3 linked regions of the Daphnia pulex genome follow. The protein of the gene in region 3 interacts with the protein of the main gene of each other region in a pairwise test. Links are inferred from orthologs where the notes say so. Each region holds a gene or a part of one and is shown on either strand. Other genes may lie near its edges.

Region 1 (9,951 bases), on a different chromosome or scaffold from region 3:
GTCTACGAAGGAAGACCACCTTATCCTTATCCGGCCGAAGAGCGTCGTTCCTACCCTGAACCTTCCTTCCCAGTCTACAGGCCCGTCTACCACCGTCAGGAGCAAGTCGAAGGAGCCCCGAGACCTCAGCAGTACGTACCAGCGTAATAACACAAAGCTACTAAGCCATTTATTAACACCCCCAAAAAACAGATGATTTACGTTAATAGATTTTAAACAATCAACTATCAGAATCGTGATGAATGAGCATTTCATCGCCTTTTAGTTATTATGTAATAAGAAAGTGCTTCCTCATTTGTATTCATGTGCCTCGATATTGAATCAATAAAAAATGTCTATCTTTTCTTTTAATCCGCCGCATTTATTTTGGTTATTTCTCTTGTTTCAGATCGAAACAAAACGGCGTCATTATTCTTAATCGCCACCTTTCACTTTCTAGCCAGCAAAGTGTGCGAGAAACTCGACTCGTCAACAACAATTGAACACCACTGTGCAATCAGCAGCTAGCGAAAGCGAATGAATAAAAAGAAACAAAAAAGAACTAGGGCTTTAATCGTCTGGGGGGGGGGGGAAACAAAAGCTCAGCATGGCGCATGGAAAGGAAACCGCAAGATATGATGGACGACCGTTGTTATATGTGCCGCCCAATTTCTTCGCGATTGTCGGCGGGATGAAGACGCGATCTCTTCTTGTATCCGAGCTTTTCTCCTTGTTGATGCGCATGAAGTTTCAGTGCAGGAGGGAAAGTAAAAAAACGAAACAAAATTCACCGCTCGTTAAATTTCGTACATTTCGTGAGCCCCTTCTCTCTTGCGCTTATATATTCGGTGGAGTTGAACAACTCGAGTTGATTGTTATACATCCATACGTTTTCTTTCCCAACTTTTCCAGGCTTAGGTCAAACTCACACGCAGTAATTTCCCAAACTGTAGAAGAATAACGGGTCACGATGTCTATTAGCATTTCGTGTTTTTCTCAATTTTGAAATGCAGAGACTTCCCGCCGTGGTTGGAAAATTTAAAAAGAATTGGCTAGAGGAGAAACAACACATCCATTTTTATTTTTCTCAGACGTTTGTACGGTGCTGTACATAGAGTTCGATACATATCCTATCCGTCTGAAAGGGAAAGTCTGTGTGTATCTATTACAGGTGCGCCATTTCCCGTTTTTACTCATCAATCATCGCAACACTTACTTGTAAAATATACGTACAGCAACTATTACTTATTTCCTCTCAACACGACTTTTTCCGTGTATTTCTTTTGCCGCGGAGGAATGATACTATAGAAACCGAAATGCGTGGTTACACCTACATAGCGATAACGAAAAAGTCAATCGTCATGTTATACGTGTACGCCTAATTGAACGCTGACTGTATAACAAACTCGAGGCATGGGCGATTCGTATCAATAGATTTTCCGCGATTTCTATTACTTCCCAATTCTTGTTTAAACGTCCTGCATGTTACTATGTGTGTTGGTCTAGAAATGACGGGTGAAAGTCCAAGCTAGGAAATAATATACGCGCTGAAATCGGAATAATAACTATGGTACCGTCATCCAGGCTCCAGCAACTATTTGCGCAGTCGTTTTTCGAAATGGTTACGAAATGAGGGCGCCAACTGCGTGCTAACAGAATTAAATTATCTTGCCAAACGGTAAGGGCATCACTACCTGTTGTCCTCGGTTCGATTATTTCACGAGGTTTTGAGCAGAAATAAATTTAGATATAAGCGAAACATGTTTGAATTCTAATGGATTTTTGTCCCCACATTGTCATTGGTTATTGATGATGGTGTACACATCGGAATTTTTTCTTTCTCCCAAGCTCTGTTAATAAGTGCCGATGAATAAATCATCAACAGCATTTTTTAAAATTCCCACGGTGCAAAAGGGGAGAAAAGGCAAAAGTCTGTGCGCATGTTACGCCAACTCGCACCACTGTGGCAGATGGACAAACTAAGAATTTTATTTTTGCTTGACGCCTAAGCTTTTCTATCTAGCAGACGAATCTACGTCAAAGTTTTATTGTGAAGTTGTGTTTCCTTTAGAAAACCAAATTGAAATTAAGTTTTTTTAAGTTTTTACAGTTCGAGTGCAATTTGTACAGCACCTGTGTTCAATTACCAAGGACGTACGTATTCTCGTTTATTATTTACTTAACTACAACGATTTCGTAATGACAGATGCTGTGTAGATTTTTTCTTCAATGCCATGCATGCGGTTATCTATGATGTGATGTCATTACACACAATCGTAAGCAGATGAGCCTCTATTCAGAACAGGTCGCCTTTTTGGGATGGTCCCGTGTAATGATAATCTTTTTCCTCAATGACATAACTATTTCGTGAAATCTGTGACTGTAGACTTTCGAACGGTGCCCTTCAATTCCTAAAGATCGCAAATAATTTCGTTGACTTATTTTGAAAAAAGTTTGACGATGCGACCCTATCTGAAGGTGAAGATACATTCTCAATCGTAAAATGGCTATTTGAGTATTTGAATGGTATCTTTTATTGGTGTAGATAGCACAGATTGATCATAACCTCGTTGGTATGTCGGGTAGAACACATAAAATATCTCTGATTCTCACAGCTTACATGTCTCTTTCTCTATGTCGTTGAATTTATACATTTGCTTCTATTTTATTTTCAAGGCAATGTTATTCCGCGTTTGGAAAAAGGGTTGATCCCAGTTATATCACAGACAACACACAGCGTGTGGAAGGTGATCAAGCGTTAATAACTATACTAGTATCTCACAATATTCCACGGGAGGATAATTCACGAAACGACGAATCAAATACTTTTACAGTCGAGGTAACTATGCACTAAATAGAATTATCTGCGTTAAATCTTGTCTAAGCATCCTCCAAGTCTTATAGTCTCCTTTGTCACTCATTAGCGCGGAAACGTAAATCTACAACAAATATGATTATAAGTTGCTGCTTCGTAACTACTTCATTAAAGACGCTTGGGTTAGTAGTTCACGGTCCAATCGTGATGAATCCCTTCTCCAACGACCTCGTAGAATCCCCAGAATTTCCCTAATACGCTTACGATATTTTTCCCTTATAATTTCTACTGGGAGGGAATTTTTCAGATTGCAAATAATACGTTGATTGTGCAAATTAATTCATTTGGAAAATTACGTTTTCGACTTCAAACCGAAAATTGAGAGATCCAAACCAACAACCAAAAAAAAATTTCCAGACAATTTAAATTTCACGATTTCAATTGCACAATTTAAAGAAACGCCTGCCGGATTGAAATTGGCTTGTTGACCGGTCACGTAAGACTGGTTATTCGGTCACACATAAAGATCACACTTATTATTTTGGATGGTGAGAGAAAAAAAAATAGCAATAATTGCGCGTTTAATTGGTTTCGAATTAGGCGACACAATTAAGGGAAAGTATAACTTCCAATATCCTTTTCTATAATTTTTTGTTTTTGTTACCGTTGTGGTCAAGCGACAAACAGGCGAGCCGGTTGTCGAAGGCTATGCGAATGTATAGCTTGCTACTTGTTATTTTCCGTTTCACGCGATGTCACCGAGAATCCGAAACTCTGCGAGACGTTAGCGCCGAGCTACTCACGCATGATCCGGTTTTACGGGGTGAGCCAAGAGACCTTCAAGAGTCAACAAGACCCCTCCTTTTGGATAGTATCATTTCCCAGCGTCGCCTGTAACTTGCAGTAATGAGTAACCACAGCTGAAACGACAACAGTGCGACTAATGTATAAAAGGACAATGCAGTGGTTCTTAACAAGCACAGTCAGTTCTCTCAGTTTCCAGTCTCAGCTTCTCTCTCTGAAATCTCAATTTACTTTATACTTATCGTCATGTCTTTCTCGATGCTTACTTTGGTAAGATTTAATTAGGTTTATACCTAATTGTTATTTTTTTCACTATTCAAGTTTCATGTTAATTCCTCCGCACCAGATCGGTGCTACCGTTTTGATGGCACTCATCGGCTCATCACTTTCGTACTCGGATACTTATTCCAACACCCCGAGTTACTCTTACGCCTACCAAATTTTGTGAGTTTACGTTTCCATTTGACAAGAATTAAAGTTTACCTTTTTTTTAAATCGATACCAGGGACACTTACTCCGGCCAGGATTTCGGGCACGAAGAGGCCAGCAAATCTGGCAAAGTGAACGGTGAATACCGTGTTCTCCTACCTGACGATCGCCTTCAAGTTGTTAGCTACTCTGCCGATCAAAATGGTTACGTTGCCGACGTCCAATATGCCGATGGTTCATCCAGTCCAGCTTATGGCAAAGCTGCTGGCGGTTATTCATCGGGTGGTGCTTCCGTCAAGACCTCGTCGTACTTCAATCCACCAACTACTTCTGGCAATAGTGGATACTCAGTCAACAATGGTGGATACCAATACGGCGGAGCTTCATCAACAGGAAACAGTTACGGTGCTGGAAGCTACAACAATAATTATCAGAGCGGTGCTGGAGTGATGGCTGGTCAGGGATCGATGTACCAGCAAACTGCCTTTAAATCCGGTTGCGTTTGCCAGTGCCCAGCATAGATATAGCATAGTGCCCTGCCCAATTTCAAATTAACCTTACATAATTGCGGTCTTCGCTCATATTTATGCAAAACAAAAATGCTAGATAATATAATTATTTATTTGAAAGCCGCTCTAAAATTTTGTAGCTAAGGATATATTGTTCTTTCGTATATTAATGACGTGTGGCTTAAATAAAACATGCGGATCCCATTCTGTTATTCTCCTTTTTTTTTCTTTAATTAGGTTTTGAGCCTTTCTAATCCATTGTATGAAGAGATAGCGCAGTTTCAAAATGATGAGTAAACTGTAAAAGCGCGGTTTACAACAAGCCGTTAAATGTTGTAATTTTTGTTGTGACAATAGCTCATTAACATTTACGTGTTCCATATTCAGTCGACGTTAAAGAAATTCAAATTTCATGTGTAGCAACTTGTGACACAGGTATTTATTCAAGCCAAGCTTTTATTCATTTGCGTTGACGATTTGAGTGTCCGACAAAAATATTTCTGGCCATCGAAGAGCAAAGAAGTTCTGCTTTATGAGCAGTTTTAAAAACTTTAACGTTTTTCAAGTTGCATTATTTTATTTTACTTTATTAATAATCCATCAAAGTAAATATTTATAAACATTTGTAGAAATGTTTTTTAACGTTTTCAAATGCATCTCAAATGGCGCTACATAGCTGCAGGCAGAAAGTAAATGACAAGAACGACACCAGATGTAGTTTTGTGGTTTTGTTTTACTGTTTTACACCGAACGAATCTCAATCTGAAATAAATAACGCCCCAACGTCCAACGATAACTAACTTTAACTTGTTGTATTTCGAGCTGCTGATAATCTCCTCACGCTGTTTATTCTATTTGCGCCCTGTACTGCCTCCCGACTCCGGTATCGTATATCTAGCAAGCCTCAACTGAAAAATATTGTACGTGTCAGTCTCTGAGCATAACTCGTCATTCATACCGGCGTACTGCCAATTTTCAGTTACTATCAAGACATTCTGATGTATTTTCAGACATCATTTCGCGTACAAACATCTTATTTTATAAATTCACAAAGGTCTTTAGTTAAACTGTATATTTTCATTTTGTAGGACATGCAGTGCAGCATCTTTATAGCCATCATCTTATTGATGAAATGGGTTTCGGGAAATGAGGCCAATTCTGATACTAGTCAAGTTGTAAAGCTTGACGGTGACACCTTTCAAGCAGAATTACCCAAAAGCCATCATTTTGTCATGTTTTTTGCTCCTTGGTTAGTGTTAAGTTGGACCCGAAATGATTTAGAGTTTCATTCTTATTAACTTTTTACAGGTGTGGACATTGTGAACGATTGAAGCCAACTTGGGCTGAATTAGCCACTACTGTTAAATCAAAGTTGAATGAGGAAGTAAAAATTGCTGAAGTTGATTGTACTACTGCAACTTCTCTTTGCTCCCAACAAGATGTCACAGGCTACCCTACGTAAAGATTTTCCTTATCCAATGGTTCTTTTTCTAAAGTACTGAATTTACAGGTTGAAATTCTTTACGAAAGGAGTGGCAGAATCACAGCGCTACAGAGGACCAAGGGACTTGCCTTCATTGCTGACATTCATTAAAGAGACTCTAGGCTTGGCTGAAAGCATTAATGTACTTACATTTTTTTATCCTCATTTTTAGTTTAATATTACTAAATATTTATAATTCTTTTCGTATAGGAAAATGTTGTAGATACTAAAAGTGATGAGCCTGTTAAAGGAGCTCTTGATCTTTCTGAAGACAATTTTCATTTACATGTCGCCTCTGGAGATCATTTTGTGAAATTTTTTGCTCCTTGGTGTGGGCATTGTCAAAAAATGGCTGGAACATGGGACAACCTTGCACAGTCAGTTGGGCAAGAAAACAGCGTTACCATTGGAAAGGTTGACTGCACTCAATTCCGCGACTTATGCAACGAGTTCGAAGTCAAAGGTTACCCTACTCTCCTGTGGATTAAAGATGGAAAGAAAGTGCGGTTATCTATATAGTGTTTCCCCTTGTAATTCAGATACCTAATTTTACTCATGTTATTTTGTGATAGGTAGAAAAATATCAAGGATCGCGAACCCACGAAGACCTCAAGTCATTTATTGAGCGCATGAAGAAAGGCAATACGGAAACTGCAGATGCCAAGACCGTAAGGATGATAAAGAAATTTGAAATAAAATAAATGTTTTCTTCACTAATATAAATATTTTCAAAGGCTACTGTGACTAGTTCTAGTCCTGTTGTTCAGCTCGTCGGTTCAAACTTTGAAAACGGAATAGCATCAGGAGTGACGTTTGTAAAATTCTATGCACCTTGGTAAACCAATCTATTGGCAACTTAGAAATCGGGTTGATGATAAAATTTTTTTTTTTTTTTACAGGTGTGGCCACTGCAAGCGAATGTCCCCTACTGTAATTACATTTTTAGTTTTAATAGAGATTGCAAATATTTTTAATAATAATTTTATTAGTGGGACGAGTTAGGAACAAAGTTTGTCGGTAAAACCGGAGTTAAAATCGCTAAAGTAGACTGTACTGAGGGATCAAACCGACAGTTGTGTGCTGACCAAAAGGTATTATCGAATAATGTAAGTTACAATTCATGTAATCAATATTCAAAAATTGTATTATAGGTCAATGGTTTCCCCACCATGTTCTTGTATTCAAACGGAGAAAAAGTAGAAGAATATGACGGAAACCGTAGTTTAGACGACATGTTTTCTTTTGTCGCCAAGCTTATGAATGATAAACAAGCAAAGGATGAATTGTAGAACTTTTACCTCAAGTAAATATACTCTTGCCTTTTAAAAAGAGTAAAAAGATGAAAGGATAATGGATAGCACTCATGATTTATTTCATCCACTTGCATGCCAAGTTGTAACTTACACCAAAATAAGCGAGTAGTTGTAACCCTACTCTACGTCACCGCCCTTCTTTTTGTAAGTGTTTAGAGAAAGTGTTCATTATATGCCAGTGAAATTGTTTTCGTGATTAGGTTTCCAGAGTTTTATTGTTTAAATTGTCAAAAACATCAAAACCTAATCGGAAACACCTTTAGATACACCACCGTCGCCTCTCATCTTCTTCCTGCAAATGTTGAGATAAAACAGGTTAACAAATTAGAAATTAAAATAAGCTTTGAGTTTAAACTATACTTTAGATTTTATCGATCTTGTGACTCTAAATCCAGCTTTAGCCTCTTCGGTTCGGAAGTTTCCTCCTCCACTTCAGGTCCAGACTTCGTAAGTATTTCGATGGGAATCCGGAAGGACAATCGTAGCATGTGCTTCTTGGGTGAAACATCTCTAACGTCGACTAATTCGACGATTTGTCCATCTTCAATGGAATGTTTTAAAGATGATTCCACTTTGGTACGCATTTCAGAGAAGGCAGAAGATTCTTCGCAGAAACTGTATACATGAACGGTAATGTCTGGGAGTGGATCCAACTCGATACCCGCTAATAGTCCGATGAAGGCGTCGAGGAATTCGACAGCAAGTGCAGGAAGGTTCATCGTTACGTGGATGGGCTCTGTGGGCTTTCTAAGAAGGAACGATGACAACTGTTCACGAATAAATTGACGCCCATCAAGATTGAACGTTTCAACTTTCGCGACTTTGTTGATTCGAACGTTTTCTTTGAGCCAATGGTAGCTAGATGGGTTGAGATCGTTGGCAAAGACCTGGCACTTGCGAATCTTCGCGGCCGGAACTGAAAACGGACCCACTCCAGCAAAAACGTCAAACAAAACACAGTTTTGTGGTAACAGTTTGATGATGCGCTCGTGTTCCGTGCAGAGTCTTGAATTCCAATACACTTGGCTAAAGTCAAATTTGAAAGTACATAAATTCTCTTTCACCTCCGTTATAAAGTCAGTTTCACCCGCCAATACTTCCATTTGGAAGTTGCGATAAGTCGAGTCTATTGCCGAACTCTTGTTCACCACCGTCTTCACTCCAATCAACTTGTCAATCAAGACTTGACCAATCAAATTTTTGTAGGGTAGCAGGTGATCTCTAAGATTGAGGTGAATGATGTGACCTATTCGTGAATATGAGGTACATCCTTCTTTCCCCTCTGGTAAAACAGCTTTGAAGATATCGTCTATTCTGAAATTTTCATACTGTAAATGAAGACATGTTCTGGAGAAGTTGTCATTGTTCACGTCCAATTCAGAAAGTTTCGTTTGTTGTTCTTCACTCAATTTGTCCAATGTTTGAAATAACAGAGGGTCCAGCAGCAATTTTTTTCTCTCTACAGTGCCATCAACTTCAACAACTGGTTTTAGCTTCTCCATCTTGAGTAGATATTTTTTGAAAACATGCATGCTTTTCCCAATATTTTGGCTTGGGATTTCAACTGACGGTACATTCACTTCTTTTGAAAATTTTTCTCTGTCTAGTTCGGTCATTCCGCGAACATTGGGTAAAGACAAATCCATTTTGGTCCATAAACTACGAAATGGATAACTAGTTGGAACAGCTTTGGTTAGTCTACTGAAAAGAAATAGGCAGTTCACTCCCATCAAAACAAATGATTTTCAAATTATAATCTTAGAATAAGATGGTTGGCAATCGGATTCTTACCAACTAAATTAATCGTTGAAAGCTAAAACTTTTCAAACAGATTTATCAAAACCCGGCTTTGTATTTTCCAAGAGGTTTTAAATTGATGGGCAGAATACAGTACACAATAGACGAAACTACACATGCTATAAAAATTTCGTCTGCAGCGAAAGAAGTAGCCAAATTTCGAGTTTTGGACTTAAAAATGATAATCTTAAAGTTTTTGGATTCAGTCTTTCTGTCCTTTGCAAATCACATGCAAAAAAAGGAAACTTGTGATGACTAATGAAAAAGATAAATCCTTTGAGTTATTAATAAATAATAATTCCTTTGAAAAGTCGGCTTTGAAAACAGAACTGGCAACATCGAAATAAATGTTCCCGGAGTTGGCGTCTGCCTTCTACCTTCTTATTTCTTTGAATCTCATTCAGTTTGATGTTCTCGACCTCGCGTGTTGTACATAGGTAAAGGTACGACCATGTTCACGATTTCCCTGCGAGTTCCTGATTCAGCATTGCATACGGTGCATATTGGGTATGTATTTTCTCGCTGTAAAATTGTTTCCAGCATTCCGAATCAGCATTTACTTTTGATCAGTTTGAAGAAAATCGATAGCAATTAATGTAAGAAAACTTAATTGTGATCAATTGTAATAGTCGTTTAGTTTAACAGTCATGTTCAGTTGCTTTCTTATTGTATTCTTTTGTTAGTCGATAGCGTTTAATTTTCGAGATCTCTCACGTTTTATTTTTACAGCTTAAAATCTGTGTCAGGATTGATCCAGTTCATGAGTACCTCTCAGGTTTTATAGCCATTCCCGAATCCAATTTTAGTGCTTCAATGACATTC
Region 2 (10,374 bases), on a different chromosome or scaffold from region 3:
GTAGGAATAAAAACCGGAAAAAAGAGGATTCGTCAAAAACATTTTGGGGGTTGGCGATGTGACGTGTGGTTAGGCTGAGCGTACTTCTCGCGATAGAAGATGAAAAAGAAGGAGGGATGAAACAAACTTGAAGAAACCGAGCGGCGCAGGGTAGGCCGTGCTGAGAAGTATAAAAAGACATGCGGACCCCACTAGCTCATCACACACATCCACTCGAATCCTGCGTCAACACAGCTCTTCAAGGCGTCCTCTATTTCTCCAGGCATTTGTAAGTTTAATTTTAGTTAGTGTTTTGAAACTCTGTTTTTTTTTTTTGTTATTTGTAACTTTGTGTTTACTCGAGCGGCGGAATCCAAGTCAAATAACACTCCGATTTATGTAAAATGTTTGTGAAGACGTTCGATTGTCTTAAAACAACCAAACCATCTGTGTTAAGATTTTTAAATCTCGAATCCATTCTATTGTCTAACAAGTTGCAAGATTGAAATTCCAAGCGCTTTAACAATTAGTTACTAATTCGTTTAAAAGGAGGCGTGATTGTTTAAAATGACTTTTTAATTAATCTCATATTATTAAATGTGTTTTAACTGGAAAAACCCGATTCTCTTGCGATTTTGGAGAAACCCAGTTTCTAATCGCTGACCCTATTTCTTTACTTTTCGACCTTGCAGAGAGTCCAAGAGCGTACGTGGATTAGGAGGTGAAAGAAAACTCCCCAAAGATGTCTACGGTACTAGGTCAGCAACCTTCAATTTGGTGCGATATCGAAGCTGTTGCCGAAGATAGACAAAACTGCCAAATGGAATCAGACAGCAGTAAAATTCACGCCATCATGCTGGCCGCCGAAAAGCGTGAAACTAGAAACAGAGACAGTGGGTGCGACTTGAGTTCCACGGGCACCGATTCACCCTCAAGTTACCGGTGGATTAAAGATGACAATTCCACTGGATCCTATTCCTGTTCCAGCTGCGAAGCCACTGTCGATCAAACTTCCGTAGTTTACCAACAGCTGGCTGAAACGTTGGCTCAAGCTCGACTCAACAATTCCGATTCAAAAGACCCGTTAGCTATACCTTCCACTTCAATGGTCGTCAGCGAATCGTTGATTGCTCTGAATCCAATCATGCCAGCTGACTCGAAAGAAGAAGACAATATGGCAATGGAAAATCCCGACGAAAATAAAGACAACGATAGGCTGTCCAATGTCTCACAGATCATTACGTTCCCAGATCCTTCATTTAAAATGGAACCCGCAAGTCGCAAAAGTCGTGGAAGGCTTTTCCCTCAAGTGTTGGCTTCGCTGGCCCTGGCCATAGCAGCTTTGATCGAGGGGTACTCATCTGGCTATACTTCTCCTGCCCTAGCTTCTATGACACAACCCAACAGTTCTATTCCCGTAAACGACCAAGAGGTTAGTAACTAGACTAAAATCCCTAATACCAAACAAAAACTAACTGGAAATCATTCAATTCTTAGGCGTCATGGATCGGGAGCTTAATGCCGCTTAACGCTCTAATCGGTGGCATTGTCGGTGGAAGTATTGTCGAGCATTTTGGCCGGAAGACGACCATCATGGCTACCGGGCCACCATACATTTTGTGTAAGTAACGCAACAGTGTCATTGAATTCAAAATATTAATATTTGCTTTCTTCATCTAGCTTGGTTACTCATCACGTTTGCTACAAACCTGCCCATGGTCTACGCCGGACGTTCAATCCAGGGATTTTGCGTGGGCCTTACTACCTTGACGCTGCCCATCTACTTGGGTGAAACTATTCAACCGGAGGTCAGAGGATCGCTGGGCCTGTTGCCCACCACGATAGGCAACATAGGCATCTTGTTTTGCTACATTCTGGGCTCCTACATCGACTGGAAAGTATTGGCGGCCATCGGAGCAGCTCTTCCTCTACCCTTTTTAGCTTTCATGTGGTTCATTCCGGAAACACCACGTTGGTACATCTCTAAAGGCCGTTATACCGAAGCTCGCGAATCTCTACAGTGGCTCCGTGGGGGCAAAACTAACGTTCAAGACGAGTTTCTCGAAATTGAAAACAATTACAAGAATCAGAGCGTCGGTGGTGGAGCCAGAGAACTTTTGAAAATTGCCTACCTACGGCCCCTACTCATTTCACTCGGACTCATGTTCTTTCAGCAACTTTCTGGCATCAACGCGGTCATCTTTTACACCGTGTCTATTTTTGAAAAATCTGGCGGAAGTGTAGATAGCAACCTCTCTTCCATCATTATTGGGTTGGCTAACTTTATGGCTACACTGGGCTCAAATATGGTCATCGACCGAGTAGGCCGTAAAGTTTTACTCAACATATCCGGATTCTTTATGGCAATCAGCCTCGGCGCATTGGGAGTCTTCTTCATTCTGCAACACCTTGAACATGATCTCGAACACGTCGGTTGGCTTCCACTGACTACATTCATAGTCTACATCGTCGCCTTTTCCATCGGTTATGGACCTATCCCTTGGCTTATGGTACGTTATTAAAATGTGATGGCTGTTTGAAAAAAATTCAATCCTAACAAAATTTCTATTTGGCTAATTTAGATGGGAGAAATTTTCCCAAGCAAGGTTCGTGGTCACGCTGCATCTGTAGCTACAGCTTTCAACTGGGCTTGCAGCTTCGCAGTAACTAAATTCTTCAACGACCTGATAGCGACGATCGGCGCCCATGGAGCGTTCTGGTTTTTTGGTTTCTTCTGCTTTATCAGCATCTTTTTCGTTATCTTCTTCGTACCAGAGACCAAGGGACACAGTTTGGAGAGTATCGAGAAAAGTATGCTTGAAAAGAAACCGAAAAAAGATATCGAATCTACTAGGCTGTAAAGGCGACCAATTATTTTTCAACGTTGGACGTCTTAACAGTGCGGACAATGTTTTTGTACATAAGACTATTCCTTTCTTTAATCAAATGATGTCTTCAATTCCTCAAATCTCTGAATGATCTGTTCTGTTCTACCTTATTTCTTCCCAGGAAAGTTTAAAGATAGCCTTATAATTAGGAATAGAACAATTAGGATTCGTTATTTATAAATACGACTGTTTCTCCTAATACCCAGCAGACTACGAATCTTTTCTAATTGTTTTATCTTCCAAAATATTTATGTACATTACTACATCAGGCAGGGTACAGAACATTGTAAAATGGTAAACTTCTCATCAACCCCCATAACTACAACCTTGCCGACACCCCACCCCTTTAGTATTTAGTTGAAAATGTGAAAACCAGATAATTTCTGAATATTTTGTGAAATGTAAATATACCAGAACCACAAATAAATTTTAAACATTTTCCTTTAAAATAGTTCTTGTCTCTAACCCTTCTTAACAAACATATTGAAATTGGGACTTACCCATAACTTGAACTCTGCAAATGGCACAAATTTCACACTCAACGTCCCAGCTCCACATAGCAACTGCATTCCACCGTTTCAATGAGAACATCTTTTCAGTTTTGACTACACAGTCATTACCAACTGTGGTTTTTTCCACTGATTTCTCCATATCAATATCATCTGCCATTTTCTGCAGTAGAATAAAAAAACCTGTAAAAAAATAAACAAAAACATTTAACATGATTTTTAACATTGACTGACATATTGAAGTGAAAGCAATAGTTGCATTAAGGTTTGATTGGATATGATTGACAACTATACACAATAGAATGCAGGTACATAATCAAAAGATAAGAATGGGTAAAATAAGCTTACTTTTAGCTATATGAATTATGAACACAGAATTTTGGGCCAGTAAAAAATTGAAAACCACAGCAAAGGAGCTCTCAGAATTGTATGCTGAGATATTGTTTATGTCGTCTGCTAGCCCGCTCGGCGCTCGCTCAGCTGACTTATAATCACAAGTGCATATTCGGTTCAATTTTGGTTCAGCCACTGACAGGAAGGAACTCCCTTTGACTACTCTCTGATAAAAATAACATGAAGAAAAATTTTGACTTTTAATCTAGCTCTTTTAACCTTTATAAATGAATTTCAATACCATGTCTCGACGACCTTCAAGAGACGAAACTGACCAAGACCTAAGGTGGTTTCATGGGAAAATCAACAGGCAAGAGGCTGAAGCTCTACTTACTAATGGTCTGTTTAAAATAATATTTTTTTTTGTAGCCTATCTATTAAAATTGTGATCTTATTTTTCCATATTTATGCCTGCAGAAGATGACTCTGAAGGACTATTTTTGGTGAGAGAGAGCCCCACAGTTGATGGAGCTTTCATATTAAGTGTTCGTCACCAAGGAGAGCCCAGGCATTACCAAATAAATCGACATGGGGCTGATGCATTTTTTTCAATTGGTTTGCCATTGAAGCATTTTTTTACATTAATTTACATTCATTATAAATTTTTTGTCCCCTTGCAGAAGATGGATACATTGTTCATGGCCTTGATGCTCTCATTACTCTTTGTCAGAAAGAGGGCTCTTCTATTTTTGGACCACTTAACCGACCTTGCAAAAAAGATTTGCCACCTGTTGATACAAGGTGTCATGGAAGATGTAATCTATTGCATAGAGCTACCAAAGAAGGTGATTGCCAAGCATTTTTCATCTGTCTGAGATTCCCTTAGTATCAAGTATCAAGGTCACTACCAATTATTCAACAGGCAACCTAACTGTAGTATCAGAATTACTTCGAGGTGGCTCCTACAGGAGTATCGACGCTAAGAACGAAATTGGACAGACTGCAATCCATTTAGCTGCCTTTTTGGGGAATAATATGATTCTTAAACTTCTTATCCAAGGAGGAGGAAATGTCAATGTTAAGGATGATGCAGACCTCACTCCACTACATGTAATTAATAACAGTAGTTAAATCATTTATTAATACCCTTCCCTGTAGCTTATTTAATGATTAACCTCTCTTGAATTGTTTAGTATGCTTGTATACACAATCATCACGAATGCTTAAAGACTTTGCTGGAGTTCAAAGCTAGCCCTCAAATCCGACACCGTTTGACCGGAATGGTTCCCCTTCACGAGGCTGCTAGTCGAGGACATCTCGATTGTGTGAAAATCATGATGGCAATGTCTGTAACACCATTGTCACGCACTAAAGAAGATCAAACTCCCGCTGACTTAGCTAGAAAAAATGGTTTCTATCAATGCGCACGACGATTAGGTATGGATCACATTATTTCAAAGCTGATGGATTTCCTTAAATTGGTCTGTTTTATCACAGAGTCCTACAAACCTCCATTTCCGTTCACCAGAAAAGAGGACTGGTATCATGGACCCATCTCACGACAGGAAACTGAGCGTCGTTTGAAAGAAGGCAGCGCCAAATACAATGAAGATAACTTTTTCTTAGTTCGGAGAAGTGCGAGCAAGCCAGGATTTTACGCTCTTTCCGTGCTCTACACTGGACGCGTCTTTCACTTTGAAATTTGCAAAAGAGGACAGTATTATTACGTCGATTACGGGCCGTACCTTGAATCACTCGAACACGTCGTGGGTCACTACATGAATCACGCAGATGGCCTCCCTGCCGAATTACAACGACCCATCAAACCACCTCAGCCAGTGGTCGATGACAATTTCGCTTTTAAAACAGTAATTTTAAGGCTGCTTTTTTGTAGGACGAAGTATTTGATTATTAAATTTGTAACAGATTTCAAGACAAACACTCAGTCCACCGCCCTTACCAAACCGAAACCTTCGTCGTTCACCGTCACCCAACGAGTCTGTCTGTAGTTCGTCAAAAGATGTTCCTAAACGCGTTGGTAAGAAAGAAATGGTTTTACATTGGGGGGGGTTGAATAAGGCACACATTTAAAAACTGTTGGTAAATCTTAATTTGCTGAACAGGAATTGTTACGAAGGAAGAGTTGGAGTTGTACGACACACTTGGCGAGGGAGAATTTGGTTTCGTTTATAGGGGATCATTGCGCCAATCGAATGGAAACTCGGTAGTATATTTCTTATTCTAATCAACCGGTTTAATATATCATTTAAGTGTTTTCATCAAGATTCCTGTTGCGATAAAAACTCTGCGTGATGATCAAATTGAATCAAACCGAGAAGAATTTCTCCGCGAAGCACGGGTTATGATGGAATTACGAAATCCTAATATTGTCCGTCTAATTGCTCTTTGCAAAGGCCCTCCACTAATGATGGTATAATTCTTCCAAGTCAAGCTTTTACGATAGGAAATGTAATATTGTTCTTCTTTATTCGATTTTAGGTTCAAGAGTTGGTGGCTTTGGGTTCTTTATTGGACTACTTGCTGGATCATCCCCACACAATTAGTCCGCAGTTCGAGTTTCCTCTATGGGCTGGGCAGATCGCTGATGGTAGTTTTGAAAATTGTTATATTGTGATGTCGCATCCTTACTAAACTTGCTGTTTATTGATACAAAGGAATGCTCTATCTTGAACAAAGAAATTTTGTTCACCGTGATTTAGCAGCCAGAAATATTCTTTTGGCAACACGATATCAGGCGAAAATTAGCGATTTTGGCTTATCAAGAGTCTTGGGTGCTGGAGAAAGTTTCTATTCAGCATCAAAAGGTGGACGATGGCCGGTGAAATGGTAAGTGTATTTTACATCCAATCAGAATTTTGCTTTATTATTCACAATTTCAACTTTGGTATTTGGTAGGTATGCCCCAGAATCGATTAATTGTGGTATGTTTTCCCATGCAAGCGATGTTTGGAGTTACGGCGTCACCCTTTGGGAAACGTACAGCTTTGGCACGCAGCCATATGGAGAAATGTCCGGCGCCGAGGTAATATCTTCTTCCTATCTGATTGAGATTGCGACTTAATTTTACATCCTCCCCACATAGGCTACAGAAGTAGTCGCACAGGGTGCACGTCTGCCGCAACCTGCTCGTTGCCCTAATGATATCTACTCACTAATGCTTCGTTGCTGGTCGGAAAATCCGGATAATCGTCCAACGTTCGCTAATCTTGTGCAGCATTTTGCCTCTAGCGCCGAATATGACAATGTTAAAAACTTACTTCAGACTGCTTCGACTGAACAAACGCTTGACAATCTCATTGACACATCTAACAGTAATCTTTTGGTTTCAGACGTCTAAACAGTAGAGCATTTTTACTGCTGAGCAGCAGATGACTTAATTAAGAAACTGAATGACAAAATGTTCCTTTTATCCACGACTTTATTCTTAAACCGTTACGGTGCCTTTTTTAAAACTGTTCTCATTTCCTATCACGAGACACGGAATGTCATAATTTGGGTGTGGTGTAAGAACACAGAATGTACAAATGCATAATGCATCTTCCTTTGCGCAAAAAAATGTGATTAAGAAAACAGATCAACCAAAATTGCTCATGCATGTGTGACTTGGAGGCTATGTGAATTGCGAGTCGAGGCTACAGTTTTAAGTGAGATTAATTTTTGGTGACCCTTTTATCAGATCTGGAAATACACGAAGATTATGTATGATAAAAAAGTTTTATCCTTTACATATCAATAAAGAAAAACATCAATAAATCTCGCAGCTTACTTCTAGGAGACAGATGCTCGAAATTGAACCAAAATATTCAGTTTGGATTACCTTAATATGACGCGGCAACCCAAATATATAAGTTGACAATAATAATGATAGACTTTATCGAACGCATTCCTTTAACAAAATAGTTCTTTTCAAATGTTCGGGTAGTGCAGAATTTGCGATTTTTTGCGTAACAAATTCGCCAAGTTGACGTCTGATAACTAGTCTGCAAGAATCTAGTAGCGGCTGAGGACTAGATTTATACTGGACTAGCCAATGGTTGGTACTGTCGGGCTCAACGCGAATTCGGTTGAAATCTAAACCACCACGAACAAGTGCTTTAGCAAAACTAGTGTAACCATTTCGAATGGCTAATGTTAGGATGTCAACAGGACATGAATAGAGTGAACTGAGATTGGGATCGGCACCACGTGAAAACAAAGCCGTTGCTAGTTCAGGGTGATGATGTACGACGGCACGTAGCAAAGGGGTATCACCAGGAGTAAAACTTTCAATGTTTAAACGACCACCATACTTCTGCAAAGTTTCCAGAATCTGATCGAAAATATTCACGTCTTCATCACTCATGGATTGGGCAGCTTCATGGATTGGGTGGACGCCGCTTAGTGCGTTGGGATAGTTTGGGTTAGCTCCGTGCTCTAGCAAGAGCTCAACCATCGCTAGATGACCCTACGAAATAAAAGAGATTAATTGTGAATTTGAGATTATAAAACAGAAAGTTCAGTTATAGAGTAAATATATAGTGAAAACTTTTGTAGAAGGGAATACCTGTTTTGCAGCCAAAAGTAGAGGCGTGTTGCCATGATCATCGCGAAGGTTAGGAACGCTTCTGGCGTTCAATAACAATTTAGCCATGGCAGTGTTTCCCTGTGTTACAGCGCAGTGGAGCAACATGTGAGACTGCGTGGTCACACGAGCCCCTCGGCTAACAAGTAATTCAGCCATGTCGGTATTATTCTGCCAAACAGCTTCACACAATGCCGTGTATCCATGAATTTCTTCCAAATTAACCTGTTAAATTCATGATATCGTCAATCTCATCTACACAGAGGACGAAACAACACAATGATTTTAAAACGACCCGTTTACCTTGGCCCCTTTTAGTAAAAGAACTTCAACAACGTCTTTATGACCACGCTGAGCGGCCACGTACAAAGGACTTCGATCGGAGTAATCCAGGGTGTCAACTTTAGAGCCGTGATTGATTAAAATCCGAAGAATTTCCAGTTGCCCTCTGCTTGCAGCGGAATGCAAAGGTGTTGATTTATCAGTGGCCTTCAATATTAATTTTGAAATTAGCATTTTAGATTTTACTTGTAAAATGAATACGGCCGACCCACCCTTAAGTTAATGTTTGCTGAATGCTGAACTAACGCCTGGACGGCTTCTAAATTCCCGCGTGCTGACGCAAGATACAACGGAGTCATTCCTTCAAAGTCCATTGCATTCACAAAAGATCCAGCTACCAGAAGCACATCAATAATATCAGCATGTCCCTGTTCTGCTGCATAATGCAATGCTGTTCTTCCATAAGAATCTGATACATTCACATCACAAATAATTGGGTCCATCCCTATTCCCAAAGGTGCTTCCATTAATTTGCATAATGAAGTGCATCTTCCATCAAAGAAATCATCATCTTCAGAAGATGAAGTTCCTGGATGCTTCCTAGTAACACTCCCACTTGAGTGATGATGGTGAGGTCTTCTATGTCCACGACACTTGGTTAATGGAAAGTGAGCTTTGTATTGTAGGGAGCTATGCAAAACCTATTTAATGAAAGTTGTTTACCAAACAAGTCTGAGAGACATTAAATTTGTTTATAAAGTAAACTTACTTGTTTTACAAACAAAAACAGACCTAGCTGTGCAGCCCGCCCAAGAATTGTCATTCCAGATCTGCACAGCTTGTTGATATCAACACCTTTACATAGATCAAACATAATTATTTAAATCTGTGACATTCCAACAATTCCTACACGAACAAATTACTTTTGATCAATTGCAACGATTTTTCATCCATCCATTCACCATTACTAACTGCCAAATAGACCAGCTCTTCGGCATTCTCCATGATTTCAACTCGGACGTGGAAAAAGGGTAAGCTATGTTTTTATTCGTTGTGCCCCTAAATGTGCAAGTTTTGATTTTTTGATAAGTCAACTGACGATTTTCTTCGCCTCTTTGTTTATATTACACTCAACTGTCGTGGTCTGCTAGATAGTGTGTATTGTATCGATGTCGACCAGATATCGATTATCGGAAAACTAAAATGTGAAAATTTTTTAACTAACATTAATTTTACATTTATTTCAGTAATTGGTTTGTAATTCATAATTTTTTGCAATATGTTTAAGACCCACGATCAAGACTTTTAGCTCATTTGGATTTATAAATTGCTAATTGATTGATGACCGTTCACTGTGGGGAAAAAATGAAAGTCATCTGCTAGCCTCGAGCGCAGCTTAAACGAGATAGTGCTCTGTTACTCGGGTTTCAAAAGTTTTGCGTAATTTTCACATTGATAGTCTCTGTGTTGTTACTTGATAGTTTCATTCTCGTCAAATCTTCCCCCCCCCATTGAGATCCGTTCTCCACAAAATTCGAATTTGATAATCTTAAGTTAACATTCCTCAAAATTAGAAATGCCCACTACCAAAACACTTGGTTGCTTACCATTTTTCGCCAAAGGCATTGTTGTCAAAGGATTCGGTAGAGGTTCAAAAGAATTAGGAATTCCAACCGGTATACTTAAGATCATAAGTGCGTAGAGTTATTCTTAATTTAGGTTCCTTCAATTTTTGTTTATGCAGCAAACTACATGAGTGAAGTAGTTGATACTCTACCAAGTGATATGGAAACTGGGATAT
Region 3 (10,302 bases):
ATTATCGGATTATTTATATTCCGAGTATTATAGCAGCGCGGGCTGTTGTTGTTATTTTCCTGGGTTGTTGCAAGATCAATTATCTGGATATACGTATGTTAGGAGTGCGGCGACAAGGAGCCGCCGGAAGTCCTGGCTATAGTTTATATATGCCTTAGTGCTGAATGATGATGGTCAACCGGCCAAAGAGTGGTAGATGTGGTAGTAGTAATCCTCTGTACTGGGCAGGTATAAAACGACACATATGCTGCCTTTTTTGTTCTTTTTCCGGCTTCCATATTTGTATACATTTTGATGGAAGAAGAAAAAAAAGGGAAGTTTTATATGGGGCTTTATCGATGCAGTAGCCATTTGCAGTTAAATTCGTTTTTATGACCTGGAGATTTTTTAAAACCAAGAGATTACTCGATTAGTGGGCTTGACGATTGTTTCTAGTAGTAATAGCGGGATTCGACGGTGAATTTAGAATGATTTTCATAGAATTCCGCGTTTGAGCTTCAATTTAAATTATGAATGCACGCCCAAAGGCTCTTGGAAATCGATCGCCCAAACAATTTCCAGCCGGAGAAGAAAAGAATATTTTCTTTTAAAATTTGAACCAATGGCGCCATCTACAGAGTGTTCCTAATTTGTCCGCTAGATGGTTTTTAGCGATCCCATTTTCGAAATGAAATCAAAACGAAACGCGGAAACATTGTTTCATGCAGATTTTATGTAGATTTAATTATCTGCAATTTCATTTTGTCTTTCAGATTCTTCATTTCAATCGCTTGAAAGTCGGAGGCATTGCCGTTTCCAGCTCAATTTCAAGATATCTAACACAGAGGACGCGCAACGAAAATTCAATTCTATGGCTAGATTGAAATCTTTGGTTGATGCTTCAAATGTTACACAAAGTTGGGAAAGAACCCCTGGAGGGATGCATGTAGACTTGTACGCTATCATATCAAAATCAGACTTTGTTCACTTTAAATAAAAAGAAATGATCGCAAGAAGAGGCAGCCAGACAGACGTAAAACGTAGACGTTATTCTTAAAAAAAGGGACTGAGTTGTCTGAAAGCTAGAATAGAAAAGCTAGGTTAATAAATGGGGATTGTTTTTGTTTTTAAATAGTGTTGAATGTATGAGAAAAAAAGAATGGTACCAAAAGATATGAGAGATCTGAAAACATATCCATTTTATTCTAGTGCTCTGCAACGATTGCTGTTCTATTGAATTATTTCTTCTTAATAACATGACCAAGATCATGTTTACCTCTAATACACTTGAGTTTGACACCAGGAAGATCTGGGACTCGGCCAACTCGCACCAGCACTATATTGTGTTCCTGGAAGATGAAATAAGCTTTGTTAAATCTCATGTTATGATTGAGAAAAGAAGATTTTGTACTTGAAGATTGTGGCCTTCTCCAGGTATGTAGGCACACATTTCCTTGCCGTTGCTGAGTCTTACAATCACACACTTTCTGTTGGCTGAATTAGGCTTCTTGGGTTTCCTGATGACAGTTTTCAAGACCACCCCCTTCAGCATAGGACTCCCGCTGAGGGGATTCTTGGGTGGCCTGACTTTTTTGTGTGGCCCTTTCAAATGCATTTTAAGTAGTAGGTTGCTCATAGACCTTTCACCTGCAATAATGGTATTTAATAAAGTTTCATTTAATTACTAGTGCTATACAATTACGAACCGGTAAACAGCATTTGATTGTATTTTTGGAGGATTGATGATGTACATCCAAGTGTTTGCCTGAGCATTGGTAACCCTGGAAAACATTCATGGCGTATTAAATACTGAATTTTTATTAACAGTAAATTAACTTGCCAGCATTTCTGCTTGAATTGATTATATTTGAAGTCAGCCTGAAAACATTTTGCAATATTGAAGTCATTTTTTCTTCAAGAAAAATAGCAGACGAAAATTGTTGTTTACGTTCTCTCTGCTTAGATGGCGTTGTATAAATCGATATCTTGTAGTGCGCCAAATTAATCGAGAAAGAAAGCAACAACAAAAAAGAAAACAAAAATTCTTAGAAAAAATGTGCGTGAGGAAAATTCCTAATTTAAGATTATGGGTTACGCATGGCAGCGTGCCTGTTATTTTTTTTTTTCCTGGAACACCTGCTGTTTTCGCCAAATTTGTCGCTTCCGTTTCTTAGTCATTTAATTTTTTGTCTGACGTCATGCAGCTGACAGGTTGTACATTGTAACGTGGCGATCAACTAACGACCTATAAAATTTTTAAGCATCGCCACCATTTTCAGGTGACTAACACGTTGGGCTGAAACTTGCGCCGAGGAAATGGACGAATTCAACTTTACAGGTTCGAATGTTATTATCACTCTGCATGTTTTTATAGAAACTAGTATTTTAAATTGTGGTTTGAATTTTATTGGAGCAGAACATCAACACGTCAGGTATAATCCTCTCAAAGGTGAATGGATTTTGGTGTCCCCTCATCGTCTTAAGAGACCATGGAGTGGCCAGGTAGAGGCAACCCATGAAGACGAAATACCTCCATTTGATCTCAACAATCCTCTCTGCCCGGGAGTCAACAGACCCAATGGAGAGAAAAACCCAGAATATGATTCAACCTTTGTCTTTGACAATGATTTTCCTGCCTTGTTGCCCGACATCCCAGAAGCAGCAGCTTCCAATCAACCAAATGAAGAACTGTTCAAGTTTGAACCTGCCAGGGGAACTTGCCGTGTGATGTGCTTCCACCCTAAATCAGACCTAACGATTCCACTGATGAGCATAGAAGAAATCAAGGCCATTGTTTATGAGTAAAAAGACTTTTTACGTCACCGACATCTCTGTGGTCATGCGATAACAATTGGATGACACACAACTTTGCAGATGGATTAAGCAAGGAACTGAATTGGGTGTCAAGTACGATTGGGTGCAGATCTTTGAAAATAAAGGCGCCATTATGGGATGCTCGAACCCACATCCGCACTGCCAGATCTGGGCATCGTCTTTCATGCCCAACGAGCCGAGGATCAAAGATTCGTACCAGCGGGAATACTACGAGACCCACGGCCGACCTTTGCTGCTCGATTACATCAATGCCGAGTTGAAGAAGCAGGTACTATACTACAAAGATATATATCTAATGTAACTTGCCATCAAGTAAACTTGTTAGATTTGCTAAGCTGAGATGACCATTGGAAAAGCCTGGGATCACAAGTAGTAGATATATATTATCCAGCAGAGCTCCTATAGATTCCCGTGTTATTTGTTCCTCGGTGGTCAACTTTGCCAATGATTGATGTTTTTCTATTGCCTTGATATTATTTAGGAACGGATCGTCGTTCAGAACAGCCACTGGCTAGTCGTAGTTCCTTGGTGGGCTATCTGGCCGTTTGAAACGCTGTTGTTACCACTCCGTCACGTGATCCGGATGTGTGGTACGTACACCACACATATAAGATCGTTAATCGTTTCCTCCCCTTCACCCTCCCCCTACGTCTCTTTTAAGCGCTCTGTCTAGCGCTTCCCTTTATTGGTTTTTTCCTTTGCTAACTCGGCCCTTGTAATAGATTTGACGTCGGAGGAGATCCACTCGTTGGCTGAAATAATGAAACGCCTAACGATCAAGTACGACAACTTGTTCCGGACAAGTTTCCCATATTCCATGGGCTGGCACGGGGCTCCCACTGGCCGCAAGGCTCTTTCCAACAATCAACATTGGCAGCTGCACGCCATGTATTACCCACCGTTACTTCGATCTTCGTCCGTCAAGAAATTCATGGTCGGGTAATAATCAAATACAACCTAACCTAACCTCCACCCACCCAAAGTAGCATCAGCATCAGCAGAAGGAATAATAGATTTGTTTGACTATGTCCTGTGAGATTGACTCTCTTATTTCACGTCTCTTTTGGATGTCTGCCCAAAAAATGCCCCCCCCTTTTTTCAAACAAACATGCATGCGTGTGTACACACAACTCTCTCTCTCTCCGTCGAATCATCCGTTTTTAATTGGTTTTTTCTTTCTTTATCTTCGCAAGGTACGAGATGCTCGGCCAGGCCCAACGAGATTTAACTGCCGAGCAAGCGGCTCAAAAACTGTTCAGTCAACCGGACGTTCATTACAAAGCCGATGTAAAATAAAAAGAAGGGCTCCTTCTCATCGGCGGCTCTGCCGTAGTACTCTTATGTCGAGTCAATGAAGAAAACCACAAGAGTTTGCATGCGGTTTCCTGGCATTATACACTACAGTTGCTATGCGGTGCTGGGCTATCTATATATATATGGAGAAAGCCCATCCGGAAATAAACGAATTGTTTATTGATTGGTTTCAATTATTCGAGTCGGAGAGGCTATAGCGAAAAGGGCAGATTAATCAAGCAATTCTGGCAGTTAGTGACGTCTTTGCAGAAGGAGACTGTGAATAGAGAGGATGATCGATTTCTTTTCACCCAGAAGAAAATCCTTCATGGCGGCTGTCTGCGATTTCCTATTCTCGTGTCATTCTCATGGTTTCATTTGATACACTGGATTATTTACACTTATCGATCCTACGCCGGCCTCGCTGTTGTATACATCCGCATCTGGGTAGGTTCGGCCGTTGAGGGGCTCAGAGCATCGTCTAACAATATTCGTCTTAGTAGAAAAGAGTGAGAGCAGCAGCCTATGATGCAGTCGTCCGCAAAGGGGAAAAATCACAAGTTGTGTGTGTGTGTCGAGTGGGAGGAGCCTTTATGTATATCTACCCGAGCAGCTACATAATATTCCAATGTGATCCGCCAGATCGGCCGAATAATATCGAGAAACAGATGCCAGGATCAGAGTTTATTCGCTTCAAAAAAGTATGGGCTTTGTGTGTGATTTGGCTGGTGGATTGACACGTTTTTTTGTGAGAGGGGGGGGCTGTTGTTGTCGTTGAGCAATTGATGGATCGGCCAACAGTCACGTGAATGGTGATTCCCTGTTTCCGGCCTTGAATAATAATATCACGCTTGAGCTTCAACACGACGTGAGCTCTTAAGGCCGAGACACGAGTCCTACAGCGCGGTCCGGTTCCGCTGGGCTGCCGAACCTTCTGACTCACGTCGAGTTCCGATGTCGCAATCAGCTGATTTTTATCGCCACCAGGTGGCACCACCGTCTCGACGCCACTGGGCATGTGTGTGTGTATTGTGTGTGTTGCTGGCACAAGCTGCTGATAGCACACAGTCTCGTTCAGTCCAGGCCATCACAAACACACAACTAAATTTTATCGTCAACAAAAATTGCTGTTGCTGGCTTTCTCTTGGGTACATTTTTTCTCTTCCATTTTATTCTTTCTCCAACTACTTCTCCGACTCATTTCCACTTGGACGGAAAAATTTTCTCTCAGTCAGCCATTTTTATCCTGTGGTGTGTGTCAACAAGACAAAGTGTGAAAAACAGAAAATTTCGAGTGTGTACTTTCTGTGTGTGTGTGTGTGTGTGTTTGACCACGTCTGGTAAAAATTAAATTCCATTTTCTTATAGAAATCATCCGAGTCTACATGTGTTTGGGGGGTGTCATTTCAGAGCAGCTTCTCAGGTGGATGAACTCTTCAAAGGTAAGAATTTTGGTAATTCTTCTGTAATAATATGTTAGAGGTCAAAACTTGTGAAAATACCAGGAAAAATGGGGTGTTTTATCTTGTCCTTTGCGAAGGTTATATAGCACACGTCACTTCCAAATTTAACCACGTCAACTACATTTTGTTCGCCTCTTTAATAACCTGAATTCATTAATTAACGTAGAGAGTAAAAGAGCAAACAAAGCACATAATCAATTAAGCACAACACACACCCACACACAAAAGGCTCTTTTTTGAATTGATGCAAACACACTGTCAGCCCCTTGTGATGCGTCTATACCCAAGTAAATGTACATATATCGTGTAACAACAACGCTGATGTTGTTCTACATAATTTGATTTCTCTCTTTTCTTTCCAGCCTCTCCCCTAAAGTGTCAATGAATTCCATTTCTCTTTCCGGCTGCTGCTGCAGATGTTTTCTTTTTTAAAAGTAAAACATCCATCAGCGGTTTTCTTTCTTTGCCCTTTTTTAGCTCTTTATTTCGAGCTTCACGAGGACGAATGTGCTGTAAGAATATCCGCAGTGTGCGTGTCCCGCCGATAAGTCCCGAAAAAGCCACCACTACTTACGGTTGAGGATGGAAGTGGAGTAGAGGGGGGATCTAGAGAAGATCTGCTGTGTGAGACTGACCGTAAAAGAATCCCCAAAGTTCTTTTCAATAGTCTTCTTCTTGCCAGTCAGCCTGAATTGAATTGAGAGTTGTCGTTTAGAATTTCCCGGCCGCCTATTTTTCTATACAACACGTCGAGGAGAGATTCGATCAAGTATTCATCATCTTTTGTGTGTGTGTAGACGTGCAAACGTATATTAATACAAATCGCTGTGTAAAAGGGTTATGCCCATTTGGCAACTGCTGCTAGTAGTCGAAAAGACTTGTATGTATAATCACATTTCGTATCAACATAATCCTTTACTCGGGGAGAAAAAGTTTTTTGACGTCATCCATCTGCCACATACTTAGCCCCGCCCGTTAGCTCTCGAGTGTGTGTGATCTCGACCATCATTTACGTAATTGGCTGCTGCTGCTTCTGAATCTTTGCCGCAGCGCAACTTCTTTTCTTGCGGATTATTATTTAGAAAAATATTGACAGTCGCCATTTCTTCTTCTTCTGTGTGTGTGTGTGTTTGACAGGTCGTGACAACTTCAACTCCGTCGGGAGGACTTGGTCGTGTCAACAACTTACAACAACCAAACTACTACTAACAACCATGTCGTTACTTCCATCACCACACCAACAACAATGGGCGACTACGACTATTCTCATCTTGGTTTGGCTGGCCCAGCTTTGCCAGGCCAGCACTTTATCCGGCAGCAACATTTGCACCCGTCAAGAAAAGTAAGAATTTAACCAAAATATAAATAACTATTTTTTCGATTGTTGTTTCTCTAGCTCTATATATAGGGAAAGTAGGATTTTTATTTTGTTGGGATCCTACCTCCAGGAAGAAAAGCGTTTGATGTTTTGGATGAGGTTCCCCCGCCCAGCTCCCGCATAGGCACAAATGTTTTCTTTTTTCCAAGAGAAGAAAGGGATGGTGAACCCCCCCATCTACTTAAGGATTTTTGGCATGCATCAGCCATTCTAGTGTCCCCAGTGGATCCTGTACACATTTGGAAAGAGAGAGGTGGAAATGGATGGGGCTGGGGGACGAAATGGTAATAAGGGGACAGGCCAAAAGGATCAAGTCTCAGTCGGGAGAGTTTTTGATCGTTTTTCGGGATTTGCTGTCGCTCGAGCGTGACACAGTTGATCAGGGATGCATCCAGCCAGGCGTGAAAAAGTAGAGAGAGGGGTCGATCCATCAATCAGCGATTCATTCGTCGTTATCCAATCGGAATTATTATTATTATTATTATTATTTTTCCTTCAACATCGTGATTGCTCATGTCTCTCCCTAGCACTGGCTATAATCGCTAAACACATTTTTTTCGTTTTTTCTCATTTCCAGATATTTCGTGACGGTGAAAATATCCTATCTGCAGCCGTACAAAGTCCGGACGTTCACCACCTGCTTGGCTTTCCCGCCGTGGTGTTCACGCTACACGGTCCACAATAAAGTGGCCTTCAAAACTGAGGTAAAATTTGAATTCATTTCAATTATTTTATCCACCGGATATCATTTCGCAGAGAGTTAGCAGACCCAACTGTGTGTCCAAGCTTTTCTTTGACAACCAGTTCAGCGACTGTCCGGCGCTTGTGTTGGAATAGCCAAACATACGAGACGTCGGGAGTGGAGGGGAAAAGTTTGGACGGGAGTCGGGAGGGTTGACTTTCTGATGATTTTCCCGGTCGTTAGAAATTGAAAGATGAAACTTTTCCTTTCCAATTCCAAAAGTCCCTTTCTCCGAATGAATCGATTGAGGCCGAACGTTTCGCCACGACTTTTCAAAGGGGGTGGAGCGAATCGTTTGGTTTCAGCTTCCAACTTTTTTTTTCCATTCCAATTTTTTTGGTGTTGTTGTTGTTGTGGTGAATATGAAATGTTTTTCCCTGGTTTTGTTCAATATTGATCATCGTTTTTGTTAACTTTTTATTTTTTGTGTGTGTCATCTTCTTTTTCGGGGGGTCCAATCAAGTCGGTGGAGAAGACCCGGGTCCTCGAGGATTGTTGTTCAGGTTACGCCCGAACGACTGACAATAGCAGCTGCGTTCCCATTTGTGGCCAGCAGTGCCTGCACGGAACTTGGTAAAAAAAAAAAAATAACACAACCACATTTCTCTCAGTACAGAAACAAGAAAATTTGATTTTTTCTATATTCTTTCAGCTTTTATACATATGTGTGTATATATGTATCTCATTCGTTTCCGTTCTATTTGGTTGTTTCTTTATTCTCGGTACTCTTCTTTTTTTTGTGATGACGACCACCGAAAATAAATAAAAAAACAACAGCGTGGGACCGGACAACTGCAAATGCGAGCCCGGCTATGGCGGACCCACATGCAACATTGGTATGCTATGCTCGTGTTTTTTTTTTTTTTTTCTAGCTCAGTCTCGCTGTTTTTTGTTATTTGATTATGTATCGGAGGAAGGAGGGTGGGGAGGATCTGGTCAGGTCCAGTCTCGTTGCTGCGGTCGCAGATTATCGAACCGGATCTTCTCTTTTATTTCCTGACATATGGGGAGAATTGACTAGCAAAACTAGTACAACATTTGTTTTTTGTTTCCAATGCAGCTTGCCCTGAGCACAAATGGGGCCCCAATTGCAGCAATAGCTGTCCGTGTCTCAATGGAGCGAAATGCGACCCGGTGAACGGCAGTTGCACCTGCACGGCAGGTTGGAAGGGACTCCACTGCGACTATCCGTGCCCCAAGAACTATTACGGCCAGTCTTGCTCTCTCAAGTGTCAGGTAATAATACTCTAGACCTCCCCCTGAGCACCTACTCTCATGTCCTCCATTTCCATTTTCTCCATTTGCTGATTGTTTTTTCTTCTTTCCCCTTTTGTTTGTGTTTCTCTCCTTTCGACAGTGCAAGAATCAAGCCTATTGCGATCCTGTTTCGGGAGCATGCGCCTGTCAACCCGGATGGAATGGACCACTGTAATATTCATTTAGAATCATCATAATTTATGGGGCACTAAAAATAGTTCCGCTGCTCCTTTTTTTCTGTTTGAAGATGCGATGAACCTTGCCCGGATGGAACCCACGGCCAAAACTGCGCGTCCAGTTGCCGCTGTCAGAATGGGGGCACGTGCAGCCCCATCGATGGCAAATGTTTCTGTACCAGCGGATGGACGGTAATGAAAAATCCGTCACCATCCGCCTCTTTTTTTCCATTCGATTCTATTTTTATATATTCATTTGATTTGTTTTTTTTCTCTCTCGTTGGCTGCTTCCACTTCCGGCTTTTGTGTGCTGTATTATATATAGGGTGAAGTGTGCGCCAATCCATGCCCGGATGGCACTTGGGGTGCCCAGTGCTCTCAACGTTGTTCCTGTCACAACAATGCCCGTTGTGATCACATTAACGGCTCTTGCCACTGCTTGCCCGGCTACCGTGGCGATCAAGTCAGTATACTATTACTTAATTATTCACTTTCTCTCTCTTTTTCTAAATGTCATTAAAGATAATTCAATCTTCTATTGTGTAACCCCTATCATTCCTTGTCCAAAAAAAGAAAGAATAATGATGACTAAGAGGAAATTGTAACCACGTCGCAATCATCCGGGCTTATTGGCTTTGATCCCTGTCTATCAATCTTAAGTACTTTTCCTCATTTCTTTTTTTTTTCTGTTTTGTTTGACAGTGTCAGGAACAATGCCCTCCAGGAATGTACGGAAAGAACTGCGAAACGCCATGCAAGGTTGGCACTTTTTCTTACATAATATAATCCAGACTGTTTTTATTTAGTTGTTAGAAAGCGTCGTGAATTTGTCGTGACTGACACAAGGAATCTCTGTCCCTGGACAGAATAAGAACATATTTTGAATTGATTATGTGTTGTTTTTCTTGCGGTCGTGACAGTGTCAAAATGGAGCCATTTGCAACATCACGAACGGTTCTTGCGCTTGCACCGAAGGCTGGACCGGTCCCGATTGCGGTCAAAGAGCCTGTTCCGACAAGCTTTACGGCCCTGGATGCACTCAGATCTGTCCGTGCTCTTCCAATAATACTGAATTGTAAGTTTGCTTTTTATTTTGTCTATTTCGAGTGTTTTATTCTTTTTTGATTGTTTTGTTTTTTCATCTTTTTGTTGATTTGTTTCGTCTGAAAATTCACTTTT

What was found.
Region 1: the proteins of protein draper-like (region 3) and thioredoxin domain-containing protein 5 homolog interact in binary tests that used the Drosophila melanogaster proteins (3 or more experiments, as listed by UniProt). The link is inferred for Daphnia pulex from reciprocal best matches to the Drosophila melanogaster genes drpr and prtp.
Region 2: the proteins of protein draper-like (region 3) and tyrosine-protein kinase Shark-like interact in binary tests that used the Drosophila melanogaster proteins (3 or more experiments, as listed by UniProt). The link is inferred for Daphnia pulex from reciprocal best matches to the Drosophila melanogaster genes drpr and Shark.

Annotation. Positions count from the first base shown.
Region 1 is NC_060028.1:10,389,159-10,399,109, reverse strand, and holds thioredoxin domain-containing protein 5 homolog, read left to right. Parts: upstream 1-5,234; 5' UTR 5,235-5,534; coding exon 5,535-5,558; intron 5,559-5,624; coding exon 5,625-5,785; intron 5,786-5,844; coding exon 5,845-5,994; intron 5,995-6,046; coding exon 6,047-6,161; intron 6,162-6,229; coding exon 6,230-6,520; intron 6,521-6,591; coding exon 6,592-6,687; intron 6,688-6,753; coding exon 6,754-6,854; intron 6,855-6,918; coding exon 6,919-6,949; intron 6,950-7,008; coding exon 7,009-7,110; intron 7,111-7,170; coding exon 7,171-7,308; 3' UTR 7,309-7,370; downstream 7,371-9,951. Other genes in the region: adhesive plaque matrix protein-like, read left to right, coding at 1-147; pro-resilin-like, read left to right, coding at 3,845-3,868, 3,945-4,042, 4,104-4,548; tRNA (guanine(37)-N1)-methyltransferase-like, read right to left, coding at 7,701-9,062. UniProt on the Drosophila melanogaster protein: Possesses thioredoxin activity. Acts as a ligand for Drpr and is required for the phagocytosis of apoptotic cells. Binds to the extracellular region of Drpr and augments Drpr tyrosine phosphorylation.
Region 2 is NC_060024.1:9,937,733-9,948,106, forward strand, and holds tyrosine-protein kinase Shark-like, read left to right. Parts: upstream 1-3,794; 5' UTR 3,795-3,996; coding exon 3,997-4,108; intron 4,109-4,186; coding exon 4,187-4,324; intron 4,325-4,389; coding exon 4,390-4,554; intron 4,555-4,631; coding exon 4,632-4,819; intron 4,820-4,902; coding exon 4,903-5,146; intron 5,147-5,206; coding exon 5,207-5,577; intron 5,578-5,635; coding exon 5,636-5,747; intron 5,748-5,832; coding exon 5,833-5,933; intron 5,934-5,993; coding exon 5,994-6,140; intron 6,141-6,208; coding exon 6,209-6,317; intron 6,318-6,384; coding exon 6,385-6,556; intron 6,557-6,625; coding exon 6,626-6,752; intron 6,753-6,812; coding exon 6,813-7,067; 3' UTR 7,068-7,300; downstream 7,301-10,374. Other genes in the region: RING-box protein 2-like, read right to left, coding at 3,368-3,536; facilitated trehalose transporter Tret1-2 homolog, read left to right, coding at 722-1,411, 1,477-1,600, 1,660-2,489, 2,562-2,840; serine/threonine-protein phosphatase 6 regulatory ankyrin repeat subunit B-like, read right to left, coding at 7,602-8,174, 8,274-8,516, 8,595-8,780, 8,846-9,274, 9,343-9,428, 9,497-9,578; riboflavin kinase-like, read left to right, coding at 10,150-10,249, 10,318-10,374. UniProt on the Drosophila melanogaster protein: Following axon injury, required for recruitment of drpr and glial cells to severed axons and for glial clearance of severed axons from the central nervous system.
Region 3 is NC_060025.1:1,676,539-1,686,840, forward strand, and holds the start of protein draper-like, read left to right. Parts: upstream 1-5,046; 5' UTR 5,047-5,061; coding exon 5,062-5,255; exon of another isoform or gene 5,256-5,401; intron 5,402-5,475; coding exon 5,476-5,549; intron 5,550-6,707; coding exon 6,708-6,912; intron 6,913-7,525; coding exon 7,526-7,652; intron 7,653-8,153; coding exon 8,154-8,263; intron 8,264-8,467; coding exon 8,468-8,526; intron 8,527-8,750; coding exon 8,751-8,926; intron 8,927-9,047; coding exon 9,048-9,118; intron 9,119-9,194; coding exon 9,195-9,315; intron 9,316-9,448; coding exon 9,449-9,586; intron 9,587-9,825; coding exon 9,826-9,882; intron 9,883-10,043; coding exon 10,044-10,198; intron 10,199-10,302. Other genes in the region: 40S ribosomal protein S12, mitochondrial-like, read right to left, coding at 1,218-1,328, 1,391-1,626, 1,686-1,760, 1,820-1,886; probable galactose-1-phosphate uridylyltransferase, read left to right, coding at 2,296-2,780, 2,854-3,082, 3,296-3,404, 3,537-3,753, 4,008-4,110. UniProt on the Drosophila melanogaster protein: Receptor which is involved in the phagocytosis of a variety of cells including apoptotic cells, severed and pruned axons, degenerating dendrites, salivary gland cells, germline cells and bacteria.